Linked DNA regions of Diceros bicornis minor. The protein of the gene in region 2 interacts with the protein of the main gene of each other region in a biochemical or structural test. Links are inferred from orthologs where the notes say so. Each region holds a gene or a part of one and is shown on either strand. Other genes may lie near its edges. The genes, in order: LDLR, MYLIP and CNPY2.

The links.
Region 1: of the proteins of MYLIP (region 2) and LDLR, one has a biochemical effect on the other in vitro, tested with the Homo sapiens proteins (4 studies listed by BioGRID, with this or other methods). The link is inferred for Diceros bicornis minor from reciprocal best matches to the Homo sapiens genes MYLIP and LDLR.
Region 3: the proteins of MYLIP (region 2) and CNPY2 form a complex in vitro, tested with the Homo sapiens proteins (2 studies listed by BioGRID). The link is inferred for Diceros bicornis minor from reciprocal best matches to the Homo sapiens genes MYLIP and CNPY2.

What each region holds. Positions count from the first base shown.
Region 1 is NC_080769.1:8,291,916-8,299,580, forward strand, and holds the start of LDLR (low-density lipoprotein receptor), read right to left. Parts: upstream 3,056-7,665; 5' UTR 2,948-3,055; coding exon 2,881-2,947; intron 1-2,880.
Region 2 is NC_080753.1:51,016,926-51,024,136, forward strand, and holds the start of MYLIP (E3 ubiquitin-protein ligase MYLIP), read right to left. Parts: upstream 3,082-7,211; 5' UTR 2,933-3,081; coding exon 2,846-2,932; intron 1,731-2,845; coding exon 1,540-1,730; intron 1-1,539. UniProt on the Homo sapiens protein: E3 ubiquitin-protein ligase that mediates ubiquitination and subsequent proteasomal degradation of myosin regulatory light chain (MRLC), LDLR, VLDLR and LRP8. Activity depends on E2 enzymes of the UBE2D family.
Region 3 is NC_080756.1:12,477,851-12,485,811, reverse strand, and holds the start of CNPY2 (protein canopy homolog 2), read right to left. Parts: upstream 3,063-7,961; 5' UTR 2,587-3,062; intron 2,360-2,586; exon of another isoform or gene 2,357-2,359; 5' UTR 2,295-2,356; exon of another isoform or gene 2,094-2,294; intron 2,000-2,093; 5' UTR 1,975-1,999; coding exon 1,887-1,974; intron 1,736-1,886; coding exon 1,620-1,735; intron 742-1,619; coding exon 538-741; intron 382-537; coding exon 285-381; intron 116-284; coding exon of another isoform or gene 87-115; exon of another isoform or gene 80-86; intron 1-79. Other genes in the region: PAN2-PAN3 deadenylation complex catalytic subunit PAN2, read right to left, coding at 4,143-4,177, 4,530-4,727, 4,998-5,091, 5,218-5,397, 5,530-5,673, 5,772-5,929, 6,547-6,637, 7,122-7,181 and 2 more. UniProt on the Homo sapiens protein: Positive regulator of neurite outgrowth by stabilizing myosin regulatory light chain (MRLC). It prevents MIR-mediated MRLC ubiquitination and its subsequent proteasomal degradation.

The DNA.
Region 1 (7,665 bases), on a different chromosome or scaffold from region 2:
AACAGGGAGCACCGAGTGACAACACATCAGACGAGTGTGCCCACAGCAGGCAACACCGTCCTGAGCAAGCGGACAGAACTAGCCCTGTTTCAACACCACAGCCCCAGGAAACTGGACATTGTTATTTCCTCCCCATTGCAGAAGCAAGGTTTGGCTTTGCCATGTCAGTTTCATTTGAATTTCAGCAAAAGCAAACTGGAACAGGGCTCCCATATCTCCTCATCCTGAGGATGCCTAAAATTACCTAAGCAGTGCATGCCCCCCCCCAAAAAAACCCTCTAAACTGTAGCCCTTAGATCTCTCTTGCCACGGGTGACAGATCACGAACAAGGTTATCGAAACAGAAAAGGAGAATACACATTTCTGCTTTTTCGTCAGCACACAAATGAGGTGGTAAATGCTGTCGATGTTTTCTTTCCCATGCTACTGAAGATACTCGCTGTACAGGGAAATCGAATGGTAGGTGGAATGTTTCCTTGCAAAAAGAAACGGCTGGCGTTACCAGACTCAGCTGAAAATGATGAGAAATCAATTTACCAGCGCTTTTTTCCAAACTAGGTGACGTCAAGGTATTTTCCCCAGGAGTGGTCTCGAATGGTAGATTTTGCTGCCAGCTCCTTTGGGGAGGGGTAGCCTGTTTCTGTCACTGTTCACGGCTGTTACTTCCACAGTGTCTTAGCAACAAACGGTCACTTGCTTGACAGCCAGGCAAAGTGGGGATGCTATTAATGTACTTAATGTGTAATGTGAAGAACAACAAAGGCATCTAGAATTAGATCTTATCAGGGGAGGAACCCCACAGATCTGAGCAGAACTAACTAGAATAAGGCACGTAATGCTCCTTGAAGATTTGCAGTCTCAAAAAAGTTCTCCCTGTCTTTGGCCAATGTTGTCCTGGAACAAAGTACACTCTGTAATGACCAGTGAATCCCCTGGGGCATGTTGCCAAAGCAGACACAGCTCTTAGCAGCAGGCTCTCCTTTCTCTGAGTTTGGGTGTGCCCTTGGCACACTCGATACCCCACGCACAACATTAACTGCTTTTGATCTGGCTAAGTGAAGGCACACAGTTCAGCGCCCAGCTACTTCTATTGCCAAAGGAAACGGACATGAAATCCTTTTCCCGCAAATGCTTTGAAGACAGCTAAGGAGCAAGCCGGAGCAGCCAGGGCTGCGACAAATACACAACAGGGTTTTCACCCCAGTGGAGAGACGTAGATGCCAGCTCTCCGCGGTCTGGGGAGCACATCAGAACTGAAAGCCTCCTTGAGAACCGAAGATCCATCAGATCCTCAGCCACCCAGTGAGAGAGGAAACTAAAGTAAGCCACTCATCTTGCTCAAGACTTCGCTGCCATTATTGTCTCTTAGGGAAGGAGTCCAACAGTGTGAAATACAGGTTAACCCAGTGTCTCTTGAGCAAGCCTCTCTCCTCCGGCTTCACACACCTGGGTGGCCGAATTCTTACAATAATCTGCTCTGTGGGGCTGCCACCTCCCTTCCTCCCCTCCCAGCGGAAGCGGATGTGTCACAGGGTCGGATTCCGAATTCAAAGCCACCTCCCTGCCAATGAAAAAGGCTTCCTGCCATTCTGTTGAGCAGCCAATGCCCGGCTGGGCTGGCTCTGAGCAGGAAAAGGACCATTTATCTATTTTCCAGGGCGAGGTCACATGCCTCTGGCAGCTCACTTACAGCCACCGGATTACTCAGGATCGCGCACCAACTCGCCTCTTGCCCGAACCTCAATCTGAATCTCCCTAAAATGAAAAGTCCTCAGGACCCGCTGGGAGCCTCTGAACAAACAACGCAACCCTGAGGCGTCTGTCCGGTGTCGCTGTCGCCCCCCAGCTGACGGTCTCCGCCAAGTGCCCTTCGCGTCCGACCGAGGAGGGGCGAGTGTTTCCGAAGCAACATTCCGCCTCGGAAGGAACCGGGGCCCTGAGGGTGGCCTGGGGACACCTCCGTGAACTTGACCCGGGCGGGCAGGGCGAGGGCGGCCCCGAGGACTAAATGGCGACGAAGGCCTTGTGACAGATCCGGGAGGAAACCGGGGGCACCCGGGCGCTCGGCGGGCGCCTCATCCACGCTCGCGGAGGCGACACCAGGGGCCCGGGACGTGTCGCCCTGTTGTGGCAGGAGCCCGGGACGGACGCGAGGCATCGCCGTCGTCGCCTCACCGAGAACGAGGTGTGGAGCGAGCCCTGCGCCAGCCCCGCCCCACTCGTGCGCAAGCCCCGCCCACGCCGCGCGCGCCTCCGCAGTCGCCGCCTCCCATTGGCCAAGGGGAGTGGCTCGAGGCTCGCCTGTTCGAATCGCGCCCAATAGGAGCCAGGGGGCGGGGCCGCGGGCTGGGGGCGGGGCTGGGGCGGCGGCTTTGGGCAGAAGCGCGCATGAGGGGCGAGGGGAGGATGCGCGGCGACCGGCTCCGGGAGCCGGCGGCGCCCTTGAGCGGCACAAAGCCCGCTTGGCCGCAGCGGTGACCCCTGCCCGTGGACGCGCGCGGGGGAGCGCCCGCAGGGACCTCCAGGCTGAGCAGCCGGGCTTCGGGTCACCCTCGCCCCTAGAATGGCTCTAGAAGGGGGTCCCTCCTTCCCCAGAGCTGGAGATGCCGGTACCCCCGCTCTGAGGAAGACAAGGGAGAAACCCGGGGGGGAAGCCACACCCCGATTCCCCTGACTGCTCCAGATCCCCCCAAGCCCCGCGCCCCCCTCCGCGCTCCCCCACGCGGCTTCGCCCTTGGCGAAGGACTTCGTGCCATTTTCCCACAAGCCTCCCAAAGATGGAGTTATTTTTCGCTCTACCCCCCAAAAAAATTACCAAAGGGCTCCCCGAGTTCGGGAGGCTCATCCGCACCCCGCGCGGGCGCCTGGAGCCAGCCTTACCTGCAGCCCCCGCCGCGGCGAGCAGCAGGGCGATGGCCCAGCGCAGCCCCCAGCCCGCGAGTCTCATGGTCCCAGCCTCCGCCAGCAGCGCCCCGGCCCCGGCCCCTGTCAGCTGTGTCGGCCCTGGAAACCCGGGCTTCGCGCGGCCCGGCAGCGACTGCACGCGGGGCCCCAGTCATTTGCGGCATTTCAATGTGAGGTTTCTCGCGGGGGAGGAGTTTGCAGTGGGGTGATTTTCAAATATCTTCGCCTCACTGCCGGAGGAGGAGTTTGGAGAGGAGGAGTTTCGAACGGCTGATGTTACATGGGCTTCTTAACCCCTGAAACCCTGACTTGCATTCCAGCCCTTTCCAAAGCCTCTCCAGGGCAGGCCGCTTGATTTGTCATTGGTTTGGTAGCCCGGAAGAGCTGAGCCCCCCCCCAAATTGGAGATGAGCCTCCTGAAAGATGTCTCTTTAATTTGTCTTAACTTTTAATTGCCACATTTCCCTTTGGTACCCAAAGAAGATTGTTGATAACCATCTGTCCTTCCAAATGGTCTAATTGGTTAACGACATCTCCCCTCTGCCTCGAAAGGAAAAAGTACAAATCTTGGAAAATGTCTCCCTCTCCTTTCTCTACCAGCTTTTTCCTTTCTAGGAATTGCAGATAGATTTTAACTGAGTTTAGTTGTACATAGTTTTTAGGTGGTTCTTCCAAATCGCCATATAAACTAATCAACGAGGCATTTAAGAAAAATCTTCAAAAGTACAGCCAAAAACTGATTTTGTTTCTTGGGATCCAGGCTTGACATATGAGCCAAAATATTTTTAAAGTTAAGTGACCTGATACCTGGAGTCTGGACGTAAATATTGATGTATTCTTTTAGGAGAAGGAGTTGCATAAACAGAAGGGCAGCTTCCTCTCCCCAAAGTAAAATTCAAACAAAACGAGGGCTTTCAGAGTTGAACTTGACTGCCTGAGCCCCGGAGGGCTGATGGAGAGCAGCTTTCAAGAATCAGAGAGTCTAGTTTTTTTTTTTTTTTTTGCTGAGGAAGATTGGCCCTGAGCTAACATCTGTGCCCATCTTCCTCTATTTTATATGGGATGCCGCAACAGCATGGCTTGATGAGCACTGTGTAGGTCTGTTCCCGGGATCCAAACCTGCGAACCCCGGGCCGCCACAGTGGAGCGCACGAACTTAACCACTACGCCACCAAGCCAGCCCCTAGAGAGTCTGTTTTGGGATTCATGAGGTTGCCTGCCAGAGCCCCCTTGCCAAAAGAGCACATGTGGGGATCTTGTCTGAACCCCACAAAAAGTCTGGCAGACTTGGAGGGTTCCCCCAGGAATTTCTCTGGGGTCTTACAAACTGGGGAATTGGACAGACCTAGGGCAGTCAGTCAGCCTTCAGAGAAGATAAGCCTGCTTCCCTTACTTGGCAGGTTCAGTGTCAGGGTCAGAGGACATAGTTAGCAACCACCTGGAGAAATTTACAAGGATGGGCAAGTTCTCCGAGTTGTTACGACATTTACAAATGTGTCACCATCGCATTCCATTCCTTATACCGAACGCCACATTTTTTTTCTTTTTATGTCTGTAAGAGCACTGGGTTTGATTGCCCTTCAGAAAAATTACAAGACCTGGCAAGCTCGGTTTCTGTTGTGAGCTCAACTTTCTGTATCTGGTGGTGGGAGGCCTTTTCTCCCCAACGGGCCTGGAAAGGGTTAACGGGAAGAGGTTTTCTTCCAGGAAGGAACTTAGTTTAGCATGTTTCCAGAGCTAGTTCAACACTGATGTAAGGGCAGACCTGGAAAAGGGCCACAAAAGGCCTGGAAAGAACATTCCTCGGGTGCCAAGGCCTGAGCCCAAGCAAGGTCTCCAGGACAGCTCTCCCCATCTCCGCCTTGAACCTTCCTTTGGAAATCTCAAGGCCCCTTCTGTCCCTGCCACGAATGGACCTGGTCACGTGTTGCTCTGAGAATGGGGGTCACGCTGTGTAATTTCTCTAGTCTGCTTCTTGGAGCCTCCATTTCCTCTTCCGTAACTAGCTCACAGGGTTGTCGTGAGGATTAAGTAAATTAATATATATACAGTCATCCCTCGGCGATGTGGTGGGTTCCCTTCCAGACCACAGCAACAAAATGCATATCGCAATAAAGCGAGTCACACAAATTTTGTGGTTTCTTGGTGCATACAGAAGTTATGTTTACGCTATCCTGTAGTCTAAGTGTGCAATAGTATTATGTCTAAAGAAATAATGTACATACCTTAATTAAAAAATACTTTATTGCTAAAAAATGCTAAACATCACCAGAGCCTTCAGCGAGTAGTAATCTTTCTGCTGGTGGAGGGTCTTGTAAAAAACGCATTATCTGTGAAAAGCAATAAAATGAGGGCTGTCTGTATATAGTGATTAGAACCGTGCTTGGCACATAAGCACCAAATATGGAGTTTGCTTTTGTTTTTTTTTTTTTTGGCTGTGTTCGTGTTGCAACTGCATCTATTTTTTTTTTTTTTCTTCCCTCAAGGAAGACCTTCTGCCTCAGAGGCACTTAAAAATAATCCTTCCATGGAAGCCACTTCATTTGGAAGATCCTGGGCTGGCAAAGTCATCTGCGACAACCCAGGGTAAGCGTTTTCCTCATTCTAATAGACAGCCCACCTGTCGTGGGTTTTGGCTCATTAGTTCACCAGAAGGCTCAGACCAGAGTAGGTCTTCAGCCAAAGGAGTCCGGCCTTTTGGCAGAGGGGAGCCATGGCAGCTGCAGTCTGGCCTGTGGGCCAGCAGGCAGCAGAGAGAGTGAATAACTGCGTGAGCCATGGTGCCTTCCAGTAGGTTCCATTAGGGACCTGCCTTGACCCCGTCCCCATCAATCATCTCCATAAAACCCCCATAAGCCACGTGAGGGCAGAGTCCATGGCTTGTACCTCCCCTGCCTGCCTGCAGTAAAGGTAAAATGAGTAAATGAAAAGAAAGAAATTCTTGTTGGAGTGGCTGCAACAACAGCAGAGATGCACCCTTCCTGAGTTCTACTTGCATTGGGATTTTGATGATTAGGAACTCAAATTTTGTCCTGGGCTGCCAGTCCTTCCTTTCAGACAGAACACCAGACTCGAAAGCAAACCTGTACTGGGGACACAGAGAAAGCCTTGAGTCGGTGGTCGGGGGAGACTCAAAACTGACCAAGGTACGACCTTGTGCTCCAGGACTCCAGGAGAGAGAACAGGGCAGGATCTTCTATAAACAATGGGCCCATGCAGTGCCTGAGAATTCAGAGGCTGCATTTAGTGTGAGAAGTGGAAAGGTACTCGAGAAAAAGTATATTTTCGTTTAGTATGAAGAGTCGAAACATTCCCGTGGTTCAAAAGTAAAAAGCCTTGATGAGGAACAAGGCAAGGATGCCCACTTTCATCACTTCTATTCAATTGGAAGTTCTAGACAGTGTAATTAGGCAAGAAAAAGAAATAAAAGGCATCCAAGTTGGAAAGGAAGAAATAGAAAAGAAGTTTTATATGTAGAAAACCCTAAAGAGTCCACATACACACAAAAAACTGTTGGAACTAATAAGCGAATTCAGCAACATTGCAGGATATAAAATCAAGACACAAAAAACAGTTGCATTTCGTACACTAGCAAAGAACAATCCTGAAAAGAAGTTAAGAAAACAATTCCATTTACAATAGCAACAAAAAGAGTAAAATACTTAGAAATAAATTTAACCAAGAAGGTGAAAGGCTTGTACACTGAAAACTAAAAAATGTTGCTGAAAGAAATTAAAGACACAAATAAATAGGTTTTATTTCTGTTCATGGCTTAATATTGTTAAGATGTCAATACTACCCAAAGCAATCTACAGATTCAATGCAATCTCTATCAAAATCTCAATGATGTTTTTTATTGGCAGAAAAAGAAAAATCCACGCTACAATTCATATGGATTCTCACGAGACCCTGAATAACCAAAATAATCTTAAAAAGACCAAAGTTGGAGGTCTCATACTTCGTGATTTCAAAACTTACAACAGAGCTACGGTAATCAAAACATTGTGGTGTTGGCATAAAGAAAGACATATAAACCAAAGGAACAGAATAGAGAACCCAGAAATAAGCCCTCGCATATACGGTCAAATGATTTTTGCAGGGGTGCCCAGGCCATTCAATGGGGAATGCACAGTCATTACAACAAATGGTGGTGGGAGAACTGGTTATCCACATGCAAAAGAATGAAGTTGGATCCCTACCTCACACCATTTAGAAAAATTAACTCAAACTGGATCAAAGACTTGAAAGTAAGAGCTAAAACTATAAAACTCTTAGAGGAAAACATAGGGTTTTAAAGCTTCATGACATTGGATTTGGCAATGATTTCTTGCTTATGACACCAAAAGGATAGGCAATAAAAGAAAAAATAGATTTAGTTGGACTTCATCAAAATTGAAAACAATTGTGCATCAAATGACCCTATCAACAGAGTGAAAAGGTGACACATAGGATGGGACAAAATATTTGCACATCCTGTATCTGATAAGGGATTAATACCTAGAATATATAAAGAACCCCTACAACTCAACAACAAAAACAAACAGCTCAATTAAAAAATAGCAAAAGACTTCAATACACATTTCTCCAAAGAAGATATAAAAAATGGCCAATAAGGGCATGAAATGATGTTCAACATCACTAATCATTAGGGAAATGCAAATCAAAACGACGAGAGGCCACTTCGCACTCATTAGGATGGCCATTATAAAAATAAAAAAACCCAAAACAGAAAATCACAGGTGTTGGTGAGGATGCAGAGAA
Region 2 (7,211 bases):
ACCATCTAGTAGCAAATTTCAAAGTCTGTAAGCACTCATAATACAAATGTATTATACTATGATGACTGCAGCCATTGTTTAAATGATGTATTTGGTCCTCCATGCTTCTGCAGATTTAAAAAATAAATTTGTGTCATCAAAATAAATTTGTATCTGGAAGCCCTGAAATGACTGCAAATTATGATAAAACTACACAGTGACGATTCCACTATATTGTGTAATATACATTTTTTCTCTTACTCAACTGCAAGTTATCACACTGAAATGCAAAGTGAAAACTTTCACAAATCAGCTTTAAGTAAAAAAAACCAAAAAACCCCCCAGCCTTTTCTGATTAATATAGACAGCTAAAACATCTTTAAACATGCAGTCACTTGAATATCCTGCAAGACATTTTCCAGAGCACTAAGAATTCAATTCAACACACCAACTTTCTTCAGAAACAAAATCGAACATTTCCCTCACCCTTTAAAGCTCCATAACTAGGCAGAGATTTCAAATTCAAATGAATAGTATTTCAAAATATGTTTCTAACAGTCCTTTGGCAAACAAACAAAAAATGACATGTTAAAAACTCTCCAAGGATACTGCTCACTCATCACTACTCAAAATTTTCACACTCACATTTTTCATGTGCGTGGCAAATTTCCAAGCCAAACAATTATGAAAAACATTAGAATTTAGATTCAAAGTTTGCTGTGTTTAAAAGTAGTTGTTTTCCTTTACTTTGACATGCCACTGTAAGACTCAGGTCTCTTGCATTTCAGCAATAAATATTAAAAACCAGTTTCCCAGTTTGGCTCATCCTTGAGAAAAGTATTACAGCCAGTCCAGGGGAGAAAAGATTTTCTGTCTGAAAAAAGGAAACCACATACTCCAGTTTGTCCACCACTACTGGTGGTTTTCTAGAAGTAAGGAGGTAATTTCAATCATCTGAACTCAACAATCATGTGTAACATATCTGTGGGTTGGCGTTCAGTTACACTGGCCTGAAAAAGAATTTAGCGAGTTTTCAAGAAACTTAAAAAACTTTTAAAATTCTGCATTAAGTCAGACAGAACTCTTCGCTACATACTGTAATCTGACACTAGGCTGAAGCAGTTGACCAAGTTTGAGTAACCCAAGAGGAACAGTTTCCTGCTGTTAGAACAGTGCACAATGACCGAGAGTAACACTGCTGAGGCAGAGGTTACTATCGGGCATTAGACGCTGCAATCAGGAAGTCAGTTGGGTCTGTCTGTTTTTTTTTTTGCCTTGTGGCACTATCTCAAGCATTTGTAAGGATTCAACTCTGCTCTCCTATTGTTTATAAAGACAAGAAAAACCACATGAAGGGTTAGAAAACGTACCCCAGGCCAACTATGCAGCACCCTTTTCACCTCAACAAAAGGGCTGTGCCATGGAAAACTTCTAAGTTATGAACCAGCTCACTCTCTATCAAAAAAAATTTGCCTGTGAACATCTCTGGAAGGTGCAATGGCCCTTTCTAAATGGAATCCAAGGTCTATTTGACACTGGTTTATTTTCACGTCAGTTTACCTAGTCTGCTCCTGTAAGATGAGATGAGGCTCCACGAAGAACTTGACTCGAAGTTTAAGGCGGTAAGGGGCTAGCCCATCCATCTGCTGCGAGATCCGGTTTCTCAGATTTAGCCATAAACTTTCACCTTTGCTCCCCGTAAATTGCAGTCCAAAATAATCAACTTCTATAATTCCCAAACGCCTGCACACCTAAAACACAAATGAATGCAGCATGCATGAGCAAATGGTCCGTGTTGTCAAAGCAAACTCAAGGACTAGACCCGAGTCTGATTCCTACCTACTTTTTACAAAGTTCAACGGTGTTACAATTCCTGTTGTAAGCTGGAAGAACAAAGTTCTAAGGCCCCAGGGATGCTAAACCATGAGATGCAGTATAAAGCCTTGTGCTTCCTTTAATACCCAGGACATGCCGATAGCAGTAGAGAAAAAGGACTCCTCAAAAGTAGTCTTCCAGAAAGGCTGAGGAGGGGAATCACAGGGTATTTTCCCTCTTATTCCAATCACCGGAATTCCCTCCACCAGCACAATCTGCACAGCTGATTTGGCAGCTTATTATCTGGACAATTTTTAACCATCTGGACTCCAAAAAAAACAAACACATTGAGGAAACATGCCACAAGTGTCAGCTAAGCTTTACAAGAGGTTTTCCAAACATTGCAGGTCTAGGGCGTTGGAGGGCACAGCGTTTCACTTGAGACCCAATTTGCTGCCTGCCACACCAATATGCACTGTTTGGAACTGTTCTTTACTCTTAAGGAAACGCGTGCTTAAAGACAACCGAAGTGTAGGATCATCCAAACCTTCGATCCTCTCGTCACCCGCAAATCGGGAGATGCAGGTGAATGGTCCAGTTGAGCAGCAGCAAGAGACAAGGGCCCGGGTGTCTGGCAAGCAATCCCAGGGACCTGCGACAGCCTCCAGCCACCTCATCCCGGGACGCAGGTGGCGCTGCCAGGCCCCGCGGGGACCCGACAGGCGGTATCACGCACACACCTGCGGCAGGTGTGCGGAGTCGCCTTTTTCCGGGAAAGTGCCGAGCTGGGGGGCAGGGTGGCAGGCCCGCCGGGCGCATCCTTCCCACTCCCGCCACGCGCTCCCGCCGCGCCGGGATGGGGGCCGCGCGCCCCACGCCCGCGGGGAGGAGGGGGCGCGGGCCGGGCGCCTGGGGCGCGCTACCCCCGGGTCGCCGCTGCAGCGCCACCCGGCCCCTCGCAAGCGGCGCGCCTTGGCGCCCGGCACCGCCGCGAGGCCCCTCGGCCTCCGGGAAGCGGCCGGGCCCCCCCCGCCTGGCTCCTCGTCCTCACCTGGTTGAGGCAGTCCTCGCCGTTGGCTTTCGCCTCCACCTCCACCTCCATCAGCACCGCGTCCGGCCTCGTCACATAGCACAGCATGGCTGGGGCCGCCGCTGCCACCACAGCCGCCTCCTCTTTGGTGTGCGCGGGGCTGCCGCCTCGCCACCGCTCAGACCCAGCCCCGGGCTCGGCGAGGCTGGCCCTCGGGAGGCTGCAGCCCTGCAGACCCCGGCCCTGCGCCCCGCGGCCGCCGCGCCCTCCCCGCTACCCCCTCGCCAGTCCGCCCGCCGGCTCTCCAGCTCTCCGCGGCGGCGCCGCACTCCGACAACCCGACTGCCTGCGCCGCGACAGGACTCCTCGGATATAGCGGCCCCGCCCCCTTCGGCTGCGGCCCCCGCCAATCACGGCCGCCTAGTCCCGCCTCCGCCGCCCCGGCAGCCAATAGCAGCGCCCGCTCGGCCGCGGCCGGACCTCCCAGCGCCGGCTGAGTGCCCCGGGCCGTCCGGGGAGGTGGCAGCTTGCGGGCACCGAGTGCCGCGGGAGGAGGGAGGCGCCGGCACGCAGCCGCTGCCTCTGCCCGCTGGGCGACGCTGCGCGGAGCCAGCGACCGCCTGCGGCTCCCAGGCGGGGACGCCTTTCTGTCGGGCTTGAATTTACAACGATTAAACGCCTCCAAGCTGCCGCTGTTCTTCAGAAGCCTTGGGTCGCTCCAGAAGCGCCTTTCGGGAGGTGAAAGCAAAAAGGAAAGGGACCAAAGTCTAAGGAAAAGTATTTTCCCCTGGGGTTTGCCACGGTGGGTTGTTGGGAGGCGGAGCGGTTGTTCCTCATTTTAGATCTCGTCATTGAAAAAACAAAATCTGAGTATAAAAGTTTTTGCAGTTGACCAGTAAGCCAGGGAGCTGGATCTAGTTCTTCTATATGAATTCTCTCTAGAGGCTTCTATTTACCCGTTGTGCTGAATCAAAACACCTTATAGGGCACTAAGGCCCTCTCAGGTCGCCATCCTATCTCATGTCTTATCTCATTCATTCGTTAAACATTAATTGAGCACCTGCTGTACTGCGGGTCCCTTCCCTCAGGCACCCGGATGTTATCCTCATCTTAAAGGTAAGGGACTCATCTCAGGAACTAACAGGTGGTGTAACCTCAGTAGTGGCTATTAATAATTACAGATCTACAACTCTTCACTCGTTTAGTACTTGTTCCTCTTTGCCAATACATTACTTAGCCTACCTCTTTGGTTTCTTTATAGCAGCAGTGAGAAGATGTGGGTTTCAGCCTTGGACCTTTAGAAAACTTCTCTCTGAAGCTCCGTGTTCTCCACAGTAAAATGGAGACCACAGTATCTGCTCTGCCTTCCCCACAGCATTGCTGTGAGGAGCAGCAGAGATAATGTTCATAAAAGCATTCGAACGACCCTCTGTATGTCAGGAGATCTATAATGTCAGCTCTGTCACTGCCTGCTGATGACTTCTGTCCTTACCCCCCTTCCTGAGTCCCAATTATCTCTGTCCCAGTGGCCTGTATTTCTGAAGGAGTAGGAAGGATATCAGAGCAGAAGGCTACAGGGAAGGATCCTACCATAGTCTTTAAAGCCAACTATGGGTAAAACTGTAAATAGTCTAAGTCCTTACCTGCAATGTTGCAGACAGACATATGCACTCTCACATCTTTCTTTGTGTCTTATGAGTACACCGATATTGTGCTGCTGAAGTATTCTCATCTTAGATCAGCTCTTGTTCCTCATTCCCTTAATTCCAGTTTGCTGACCCAGGAAACTTATCCAGGAGATAACATTTGGATCATGGATATCTAATCTATGCTTAATCACTAGAAATTTTACAACTGGGAGAAGAGGTGAGGGCCAAGATGGAGGCTGGGTGTCTTGGTTAATATTTTTGCTTATGAGCCACTAGGCTGACTAACCCAAAGCCAGGTAAACAAAAGTTGGCTAAGGTAAGCAAAAGGGAATTGAGTGCACAAATTTTGGGAGCTCACAGAATCAGTGGGAACTAGGCGTGAAAATGAATAGAAAGGGAGAAACACTGGTTGGCCAAAAAACAAAAATAAAAACCCAATAAAAACAAAACAAGCAAAAACCAAAACCAAATACTCATTTTGTGAAGAAACTACTTTAAAAATAACTTTGGGGCTGGCCTGGTGGCATAGCGGTTAAGTTCGCACGTTCTGCTTCAGTGGCCCAGGGTTTGCAGGTTCAGATCCTGGGCGTGGACCTACTCACCGCTCATCAAGCCGTGCTGAGGCAGCGTCCCATGCAGAGCAACTAGAAGGACCAACAACTAGGATATACAACTATGTACTGGGGCTTTGAGGAGAAAAAAAGAAAAAGAGGAAGACTGGCAATGGACGTTAGCTCAGGGCCAATCTTCCTCAAAAAAAAAAATAATAACCTATGTTTTTGGTTTTGGTGGGGATATTTCTAATCCAAATACACAAGTTATGATCCTATGTTTGTAAGGAGATCTATAATGTCGGCTCTGTCACTGCCTGCCAATGACTTCTGTCCTTACCCCTTTTCCTGAGTCCCAATTATCTCTGTCCCAGTGGCTAACCTGTACATAACCCAGATTATGCTCCTGCTAGGAGATGGTTGGTAATTCCAATTGTTTTTGAAATTAAGATTCACCCGATAAGACTAAAGAGGAGAAGGATTTCCTAAAACAAAAGAAAACAAAGCTAAAAACAGGAAAACAGCGCTTGGGGAGGGGGGAGAAATCCTAATGACTGAAAAGAAAAAGAATACTGTCTTCTACTAACATATACAGGAAATAAGAGACCATCATCTCTCTCTTTCCCTCTCTCTTTCTTTCTCTGTTTCTTTCCTAATTTCTCCCTTGAGTAGAGATAGCGAGAGACTGGTTAGTTAAGGAGTGAGAAGCCTCAGTTAGCTGGTGACTGGCTAAGAAAGCACATTATGTCCAAAGACCTAGTTAGAGAAGAGAAAGCCCACAGTAGAATTCCTTTCTAGAGGATCCCACCATCTGGTAATGCTACTAAAAGTCTGGAGCCAGTTTCAAGCCCCAGCTGGGTCTAACTCCAAAATAAGAGACTCTGAACACCCTGGCCTGGGGGTGGTAACTGTATTAGATCGAGCTGTGACTGAAGCAGTTCTGCATTAGCCAGAGAGGTGCGGCATTTTATCTGTGTCTCTTTTCTTTTGCTCTCAATTAGCTATTACCTTCGAAAGCTAGCATTAAAATTAACCAGCAAAGTAAAAACATCAGCTGCATGAAGGTAGATTTTTAAAATAGAAACCATAACTAAATGACAGAGTCCGCTAAGGCAGTGGAGTCCTGGCTGTTCAAACACACCCAAACACCAAGTTTTTCTCTCTGTCTCATATACTAGGGTTCATGACTGAGCACTAGATAATATTCATAGGACGTGATGGGATGGTTGTCTGGCTGCAAAATTTTTCTTGTGGTTGAGCACTAGGTCTGATCTGGCTGGCTGGATATCTATTCTTGTTCCTTCCTTTCTCCACACTGTACACACTGCTGCAGAAACCCTGTGCTGCGTTAAAGGAAAGGCCCATCTTCTCTTTCCCTCTCAACCTTCATTTGTAGGAGGGTGGAGGGAAGAACAATTAGTGACTGCCTCACAAACTATCCATTTGCTTTCACACATTGTTCAAGCTAATTATTCACATAAGCAATGCTTCATCGAACCCAAGTGTGTTAAAATGTGTCAAGTGAGCTGAAATCTCTCGTTTGAAATATTGGACTTGTGAAATTCAGGAGAAGTTTAATTTGATCCTAGCCTACCATCAAAGCAGAGCATCTCATTTCCAAAACTGGCTGTTTAAAGAGTAAAAGAGGGAATGAGGAAAGAATAGCCAACGCCTGTATTACAAATTCTGGAACATATAAAATGGCATCATCTTAATTAGCAGGCAGTTTAAATGATTTTTTTCTAGTTGTGACAGTAGTTCATATTCATGGTTGACTACTTGGAAAAGATTGAAAAGTACGAGGGAAAAATAAAGTACTTATAATTTTATCAGGCATTTCCAGTTGGTATTGATGTTTTACTTTTGTACTGTGCATGTGATGTGCTCTAAATTTTGATTGTGATATAATCAAATACTGCACATGAACTTCTGGAGACATTTCAAGAGAGCAAGTGACACTTGGGGTAGGGAGTTCCAAATCTAAACCCAGTGTTATGAATATTAGGAAAATTATAAACAGAAAGAACAACCTCCACAAAAAAATTTCCAGCTATTACTGTTTCTCAGCTGTCTTTTTTCTTTTCTGAAATACTACCCTTTCCTCTGTTTGTTTTTCTTCTCACTACTAGAATGCCCTGAAATGTCACGTTTTCTGATACGCTTACTTCTGTGGCACGATCATTTAGT
Region 3 (7,961 bases), on a different chromosome or scaffold from region 2:
CCAAAGTGGCACACACACCAACCACCATTTTCCAGAGCATATGCTTTCAAATGACAAAACATTCCCACTATCCTCTCACCTGTATCTCAGGTGAGGGAGCCAGAAATTCTGAAAGCTGGCAGGAAGAGAACGGGGAGGAACAACCCAAGTCCATAAGCCATGGGTAATGGAAGCCAACTTGTGAGCTAATATCAGAAGATTGGGCGGTCGTTGGGGGATACACTAGGGAATGTGCCAGGTTCCACAGGGCTGTGAGGAAAGGAGGTAAGGCAGGAGTAGTTTACCTGTTCGCTTACTACAAAGTTTGTCTTTAACATTGTCAGCCTCTCGGGAAAAGAATTCAATGAGTTCATCCTCGTATTCCTCCACAATGCTCTCACACTGTCAACCAAAGAAGAAACGAGTGAGAGGGCAGCAAGAAGAGGCCTCCTGCCTCTGCCTCCAGAGGAGGACAAAGACATTAACCCAGCTTTCCCCTTGGGCTCTCCAATAATTCTCGTAATTTCCAAGAACCAGCCACCCACTCCCATAGCTCACCGCAAACTTGAGGGTGCCGCTGATGTCTGAATCAATTCGGATGCCCTGTAGGTCCAGTTCGCTGGATTCTCCATTCCGGCCCATTACACGTACATAGTTCTTGCGGTGGGTGGAAGGATCAATCTGTTCCCCATACTCCTTCATCCGGTCACATACCTCCTCTAGCAGCTCTGTGAGGTGGGCCTCTGAGCGAGCATAAGGCACCTAGAAATGTCCTCAGCCTTGGGTCACACTCTTCTACCTCTGAACATTAGTAATTTATATCCTTACTTTTCCTTCCAAATCTAGCTCTACCGACCTATTCTAAAAAGCCTTCCCTAATTAAAAACAGTATGGTTTATTTGTATAGTTCCAAAGTGCTTTCAAATATATGATCTTATTTTACCTCATTATACAAGCTAAGAAATAAAAGAGGTGTCTTTCCCTCCAAATTGTAGGTAAACAAAGACCTCTTTGATTAACCCTAGTCAACTGTGTTCTTTTCCTTTGAATTCCCTTAATTTTTATGGATGTAAGGTAATGATTTTATTTCCTTGTATTACAATGAGACTAATACCTGCCCTCAACAGGAGAGCATCAGAGAGGAAGTGTAGGCTTTGAGGATAGCAACTGTTAAAGTATTTCACAAGCATCATAACCTTAACGTTTCTTTATATATTGCTCACTTGGGGGGTGGGGGAACATCTGAGTACCTGTGTTATGTTTGCAACTAAAATAAATTTCCTAAATACAAGGGTAAGCTGATCTATTTCTTTTTTGAATGAATGTTCATATGTGTACCTTACTGTCATAGTGAAAAGCTGAGTCACATGGATTAAGGATGTGGAGAAGGGGGCTGATCAGGGTTCTCTGTCTGCTGACAACTTCTACAGCAGAAATAAAGCATTAAGGTTTGGAGCCATGGAGCAAGTGCATAGGGTATAAGCCATAAGCCTCTTCCCAATGAGACAGCCCAATCTTTTAGACACCTCTCTGGGTCAATATTTTCTTAATTTCTATTAAACCAAGGTCCTTCTTAATTAGTTGAGTTCTCATTCAATGTCAGAGTGGGCTACTTTATTTGGGGGAACAGTAACAGTTACCTCCACCACTGACTGGCTGCCATCTGGATTGATTCGGAAAGAGCCCATCTGAATGGTCTTCTTGGGATCCACCTGGGCAATCTCCCACTCGAGTTCATCCACCAGAGCCCTGCAAGCTGGGCAAGGGGAGAGAAGGGCGGGTGGGGAGAGACAGGAAACAAAGCCAGGGAATTTCCATTCATCCTTCTACTAGGCCTTGGATCTCATGCCCTCCCAAGGTTCTGTCTTCCCCATCCTCCTTACTCCCACTTCTCTCTGTGCCTTTACCTCCACAGTGTAGATCCTGGCTCCTCCGAGCCCAAGCAGTTCCCAGCAGGGCCCCCAGAAGCAGGGCCAGCCAACCCCAGCCTTTCATCTTTAGCGTAATGGGGTTGCTCCACCTGGGTTTGGATTGAAATAAAGCATAGGTGTGGGGAGCTGGCTCCATCCTCCCCACGCCGCCTCCCCCAACCCATCCGTCATCCCAAGGCCTACAGAGGCCGCAGTGTGACTCTGGCTCTACTTTCCAGGAAATGGCCGGGACACAAAGGAGCTCCTCTGTTCCGGCGCTTGAGGACCCGGATTCCCCCGGGCGGTGGGAAAGAGAACGAGTTGGGGACTTGGGGCTTAGCCCGACACTACGTCGACAGGTGAGGCCCTAGATGTTGGTACTTCACCGTCGGCTGCTAAACTCACAGGGCGATGTGGCAGCCACGGAACGGGGTGGCGACTAAGCGAGGACGACAGGCACAGAGGAGCTGCTGGCAAGGAGAGCAGCCGATTCAGGCCAGGAGGCAGCGAGGAGGCCGGCCGGCGAGGACAGCACTCAACACTAGGGTCTGTTTGGACCCAGCACGGAAGATCACTGCATCCCCACCTCCAGCCTAGACGCTATTTCTCGTGAGGAGCAAGCACCTTTCTAAGGACCCCGCCACTGCCTTCGCTCCAGTCCGTCCCCGACCCTCAGCGCCACTCGCATCCGTCCCACCTCTGCTCCCAGGGCCGCCGCCGTGGCCCAGGCGCTGGAAGACGGCCGGACTCGCACTTTTAGCACCCGACCCTAGCACCTGGCTGCCGGGAGCGGGGCTGTCCCGGCTTCTCCAGAGCGCTCCGGCGCTGTCCAGACACGGGGTGCCCCGGCGACCGCCTAACCCAGCTCCTCGCACCCTACGCGGGCGCCCAAGCAGAGCTCCGATGCCCTGCGGTGCGAGCCCCACGCCAGAGACCGACCCCAAACCCGCCCCTCCAAACTCTCGCGCGAACAGGCAGCTACAGGAGCGGCTCCCAGGCGGCGAGGACCCGGGTGGATCGCAGAAGGACCCAGACTTGCGTGGCGAGCAGCTCCACGTGACCACCAGGGGTCAGCCAAAGAACAGGAGTGGCCTGAAGCAAGGACAGAGCCCGGTGTGGTGTATGGAGGCGGTCGGGCGAGCGCGCGTCAGTCTAGGTGGGCTAGGACCTTCAAAAAGAAAGGAGCGCTGCTCGCCAGTGAGAAATCCTGGTTTCAATACCCAGGAAACTACAACTCCCAGGAAGCAGCGCAGCACCACACAGATCCTTGGTTAATAGCTACAGGTCTTAAGATATCCTGGGACCTGTAGTTTGTCAGCTTCCCCACCTCCCCTTTTACACAGGTAACGGGGAAACCATACTGTACATCTTAAAATCTCACCTTAGGGTTCTAGGCAGCCACAGCAAATACGTAATATTATCCAGGAAGAACATAATTATACTACTCCAATATCCTTAACTTTGGACTCCTGAGCTTTACCTTCATTTCTAGGTGGAAATTTGAAAGCCTTGTTTTTTTCCATTTGCAATAGAGAGCCAATAGAAAGAGAGGAGAGGAGGGCCAAAGTCAGAGAACCCCACACTCGCAGGTCTCAAATGAGAGATGACAGCCAATAATATTTTTGTTTTTATTTTATAAAACATGCAGTTTAAAACAAAATTTTAAAAAACAAAACTTGGGACAGGAGAGTGGATGGAAGACAGATGCTTCTCAGCTGTCAGCAGGAGTGAAGCCAGCAGCCAAGCTTTGTCTAGGACCCAAAGGCCCTTTTGGCAATGATGGTGTTGGCAACACTGGTTTGCTAGAGCCACCAAGATTGTATATGTTGGCCCCTCCAGGCACCCTGCAAGCAGTCAGAGACTTGAGCTAAGTCTTGAGCTCCTGTTGTATCCTGTCACTGTCCAGAACGTCAGTCCTTAGCCAACTAGGAACTGACAGTTTTGGTTCCAGGAGTTTCTCTGCTTGGATATTAATTACCCAGGATATTAAGAATACCAATTACTTGCCATCTGTGTCAATTCTAGACTGTTTCTAGCCCATTATTTTGCAAAGATTAAAAAAGGAATCTGGCTCCTAGACCCTATGCAACAATTGTGCCACATTCCACTTCTATTAATAGCACCATCTGTAGACCCCAAGTAGGTCCAATTCTAGAAGTGGACAGGGTGCAGCCAACTTGGGAAGCCATGTCCCAGTTCTGGGGCCACAGAACACTGAAAGGAGAGGCAGCAGTTCGTTGGGAGAGGGTGAGGTCAGAGCGCCAGTACTGAGGAGAAGACAGCTGCACCTGTCAGAGACAAAACCAAGAGCATTGACTCTTAAGATGAGTGGAGAAAAAGCACCTGGGATACTTCTTATGAAGGAAAAATGCAAGCGAAAAGAGAACACAGACCTACCCCAAATGTTTTAGAATTGGGCAAGAGGAAATTAGGACCAATGGAGAGTTTCAATAATAAAATCTATTTCACTGAATGTTGGGAGGATTAAATGCTTTGTAAACTGTTAAATGCTCTACATATATAAGGTAGGGATGGTACCGCTGTTAACATCATCATCATCATTGTTATTTTGGAGGGTATAATCTTCACATGTGCAATCAAAACCCAGTCTGGTTTCCCTTGTCCCATCCCAGGCCTTACTTTTGGGACTTGTCTGGCCCTCAGGTTCAGGCACCTTCCAGTCCATCTTTCGGCCCTTCTCGTAAAGACCCTTGAGCACTTTGTGGAAGGACTCAGGTTCAGTGCCATTTTTGCTTAGCTCCAGATACTTTCGGTAGAGCTGAAGGGCTGTGCGGGCATCCTCAATACTGTCATGGGTCTCCCCTTGAATCTTCAGGTCTGGGGGAAGTAGAGGTAGAATAGTTTGGGACCTAGCAAAGGGAGGTCAGAACATTCTCAACTCCCAATAAACAACAATAAAAAACCTGACTGCCCTTAAGGGAAAGAGCCAAACACCATCCCTAGTGCACAGAAGGGATACTGAAACTAATTAAATCCATCAGTAATCTCACCACTAACTCAGGGTCCTCCCTACTCCCCTTGGCCCCTCCAACACTTTTTCCTGCTTTTAATGAGTACCACGAGGCCCTACAAGACAGAGCAACTCACCTAGAAAGTACCAAGCAAGGAATCGCAGGGAAATCATTCGTTTTCGGGGCATGTGAAACAAATAGACAGTGTCAAGGACCTGGTCCTTGGGCACCTGGCAGGGATAAAAGAGTGGGAAACTGAAGGTAGAGGATCCATAATTTCCCCTTTTCCAAAAGCACAATGTATACCCTGAGAGGCCCATGCTCAAAGAAGACTCTTAAAAGAGCCCCGCCCGAACCATGAGGTTGATGACCCGGAAGTCCTTCTGCAGACCATGACCCACAAACTTGACTCCAATGTCTATAAGAAAACGAAGCTTTAAGTAGGTAGACTTGAGAGTTGTGAGGTGCTTAGAGGAAATCTTGGCATCGAGGTCTCCTGGCTTTATCCCGGAGTATTGAGTCAAGTAATCTACCACCTAGGGATAGAGAAAAGGACAAGTCGTCCAGGAAGCAAGGTGCAGAGTCTCCCCCTACCACTCTTCCCTGGGTTCTAGAGCACTCTACATAAGCAGAGGGTCTGTCTTACTTGCACCTCCATATCCTACTACCTGCTCCTGGGTAGAGATGTAGTCATCAATGAAGGGGATACCCTCATTGGGTCCCTGGCCCCGAACACAGGTAATCCTCGCTACTGACATCTGGCTTGGTTTGATGGTAGACTTAGTGCCATCACTGCGCAACTCTGCTTCCTCCTACATGAGAAGAGTTAATAAGGAAATCAGAGAAATGCTTATGACTCCTAATATCCCCAGAGTTCTGTTCCAATACCCTACCCTTTGATCTTGGTTACCTCATTAAGGGTGACAAACTCAGCGTCCAGGCCCACCAGGTCTCCAACCTGTGGCATCTCATTCACCATCAGCGGAATGAAAGTAGTATGTGTTTTCCGCTGCTTCCGTGCTAGTGAGGCTTCAGCTAGCAGGACACTTGCCTCAATAGGGTTCTTGACTGGAAGGGAGAATCCAGAAGACAGATGGCTGGGGATATGGAAGTGACCAGAGGAGGGCAGCCCATGGTGGCTGACCAGAGACTGGGTCGACACTGTGATTCTTCAATAATTAAAGCATGTGAGTAAAAAGATCATGTCTAATGAACAGAGTAGGTAGATGGAACAGGTCAAATCAGAAAATTATCAAGAAATATGCTAGGAAAAAACAAGAGTCAACAGAGAGAAAAGAATAAGATTTTCACTTCAGACTTTAGCTTAGAAAATCCAGAAAAATAAAGTTACACAGAAACTATGGTTTAAAGGCACCAAAAAGGGACTTAATAAGGAGCTCATCTCCAAAAGAAAAAGAGATCCTCACTTGGGGATAAGAATGGCAAGACTCAAAATTCATACCCTTAGCCACTATGATTAGACTTCCCCCCAACACTTCTTCCCTACTACACCCTCAGGATCTCCAGCTTCTAAATTTCAGGCCTGATGAGCAGGAATCTCTTTAGTATCCCTGGAAATATTAACACTGGTTACTGATCCTAATCATAACAAGCTATTTCCCAGATCTGTTCCTGAAGACCAGTCTCAGCTGCCCATGCCCTTGGGTCTACTCTGTACCACTTACTGTTCAGGTTGTATTTGGAATTAAGATTCCTTTTGATGTAATAAAGGATAGCAGGCACTTTCCAATTCATGTCAAACTGCACAGCTTCATGCTATAAAAGAAAAAGCACTTAATGGCCTACCTATATGTCTCTTCTGCCTTTTTTTTTTGTGTGTGTGTGAGGAAGACCGGCTCTGAGCTAACATCTATTGCCAATCTTCCTCCTTTTTTTTTTCCCCCCAAAGCCCCAGTAGATAGTTGTATGTCATAGTTGCACATCCTTCTAGTTGCTGTATGTGGGTCCCGGCCTCAGCATGGCCGGAGAAGCAGTGCGTCAGTGCGCGCCTGGGATCCGAACCCGGGCCGCCAGTAGCGGAGCATGCACACTTAACCGCTAAGCCACAGAGCCGGCCCCTCTTTTGCGTTTTTCCCCAAGTCAGACAGAAGACAGGCACTATTTTTAGCTCCGCTAATGCTTTTTATTCTTGAGGACCCATCCCTCCCTCCTGAATCTGCCTGGCATTCTCTAGGGGACTGAGGATGAGGATGCTCGGAAAAGGGGAGATGAAAGGAGAATGGAATGTGTTACAACTAACCTTATCAATAGGTTCAATAAGAAAGTCATTGAAGAGATACCACTGCTGGTGGGTAACACCCTGTGGAGATACAGAGAAAGACTGATGCCAAAGTGATGGCTGGACCACTCTGGCTCAGACTCGAGATAAAGACGGATCTGGGACTCCATCATGGCCACCACCAGGAGAGTCCCTGCCCTATATTACCTCACTCACCTCCTTGCGCTGGTGGTAGGTCTCTCCAACTTTGATGTGAGCCACCAGGCTGCCCCCTGTGCGTGAGTCCAGGATGTGTACCACAGTAGCCATCAGGTCATACACATAGACACCATGCTCCTCCTCTGCCCTGGCTGGGCCCCACTGTGAGGGGGGTACCCAGGCTGCTAAGCTAAGTTTAAGGATGGGGAAGGAAGGGGAATGGGGACAGAGGATAAGGAGTTTGGGGCATGGGGACGGGGGACCAGGGTGGGTTATCTCCATCCTAACCCATCTATGACTCGCAACACTGAACTGAATGACTCTGGAAAAGCCCACAACTGGTAAATACTAGGCCTTATTCCTTTTCTTTTCCCTATACTAAGCTCCACCTTCCCCCTGTCATGCTTCTGCCCCAACCTTCTCTCCCTTATTCCCCTTCCTTTTCCCAGTTTTTCAACAACCTGCATCTCATCCCCATCAGTCCAATTGCAAACATCCAGCCCTTTGTTCTTGGTCATCTTCATGCGAATGGAGAAAGGAAGCCAGACATTCTTCAACTCCTCAATGGAGGGACACATCAGCATGCCCTCTGGACTCCCTAGTTCCTTCCTATCAGGACAGGAGAATCGGAAATTTGTTCTGAGGAGATCTAGCCAGTGACAA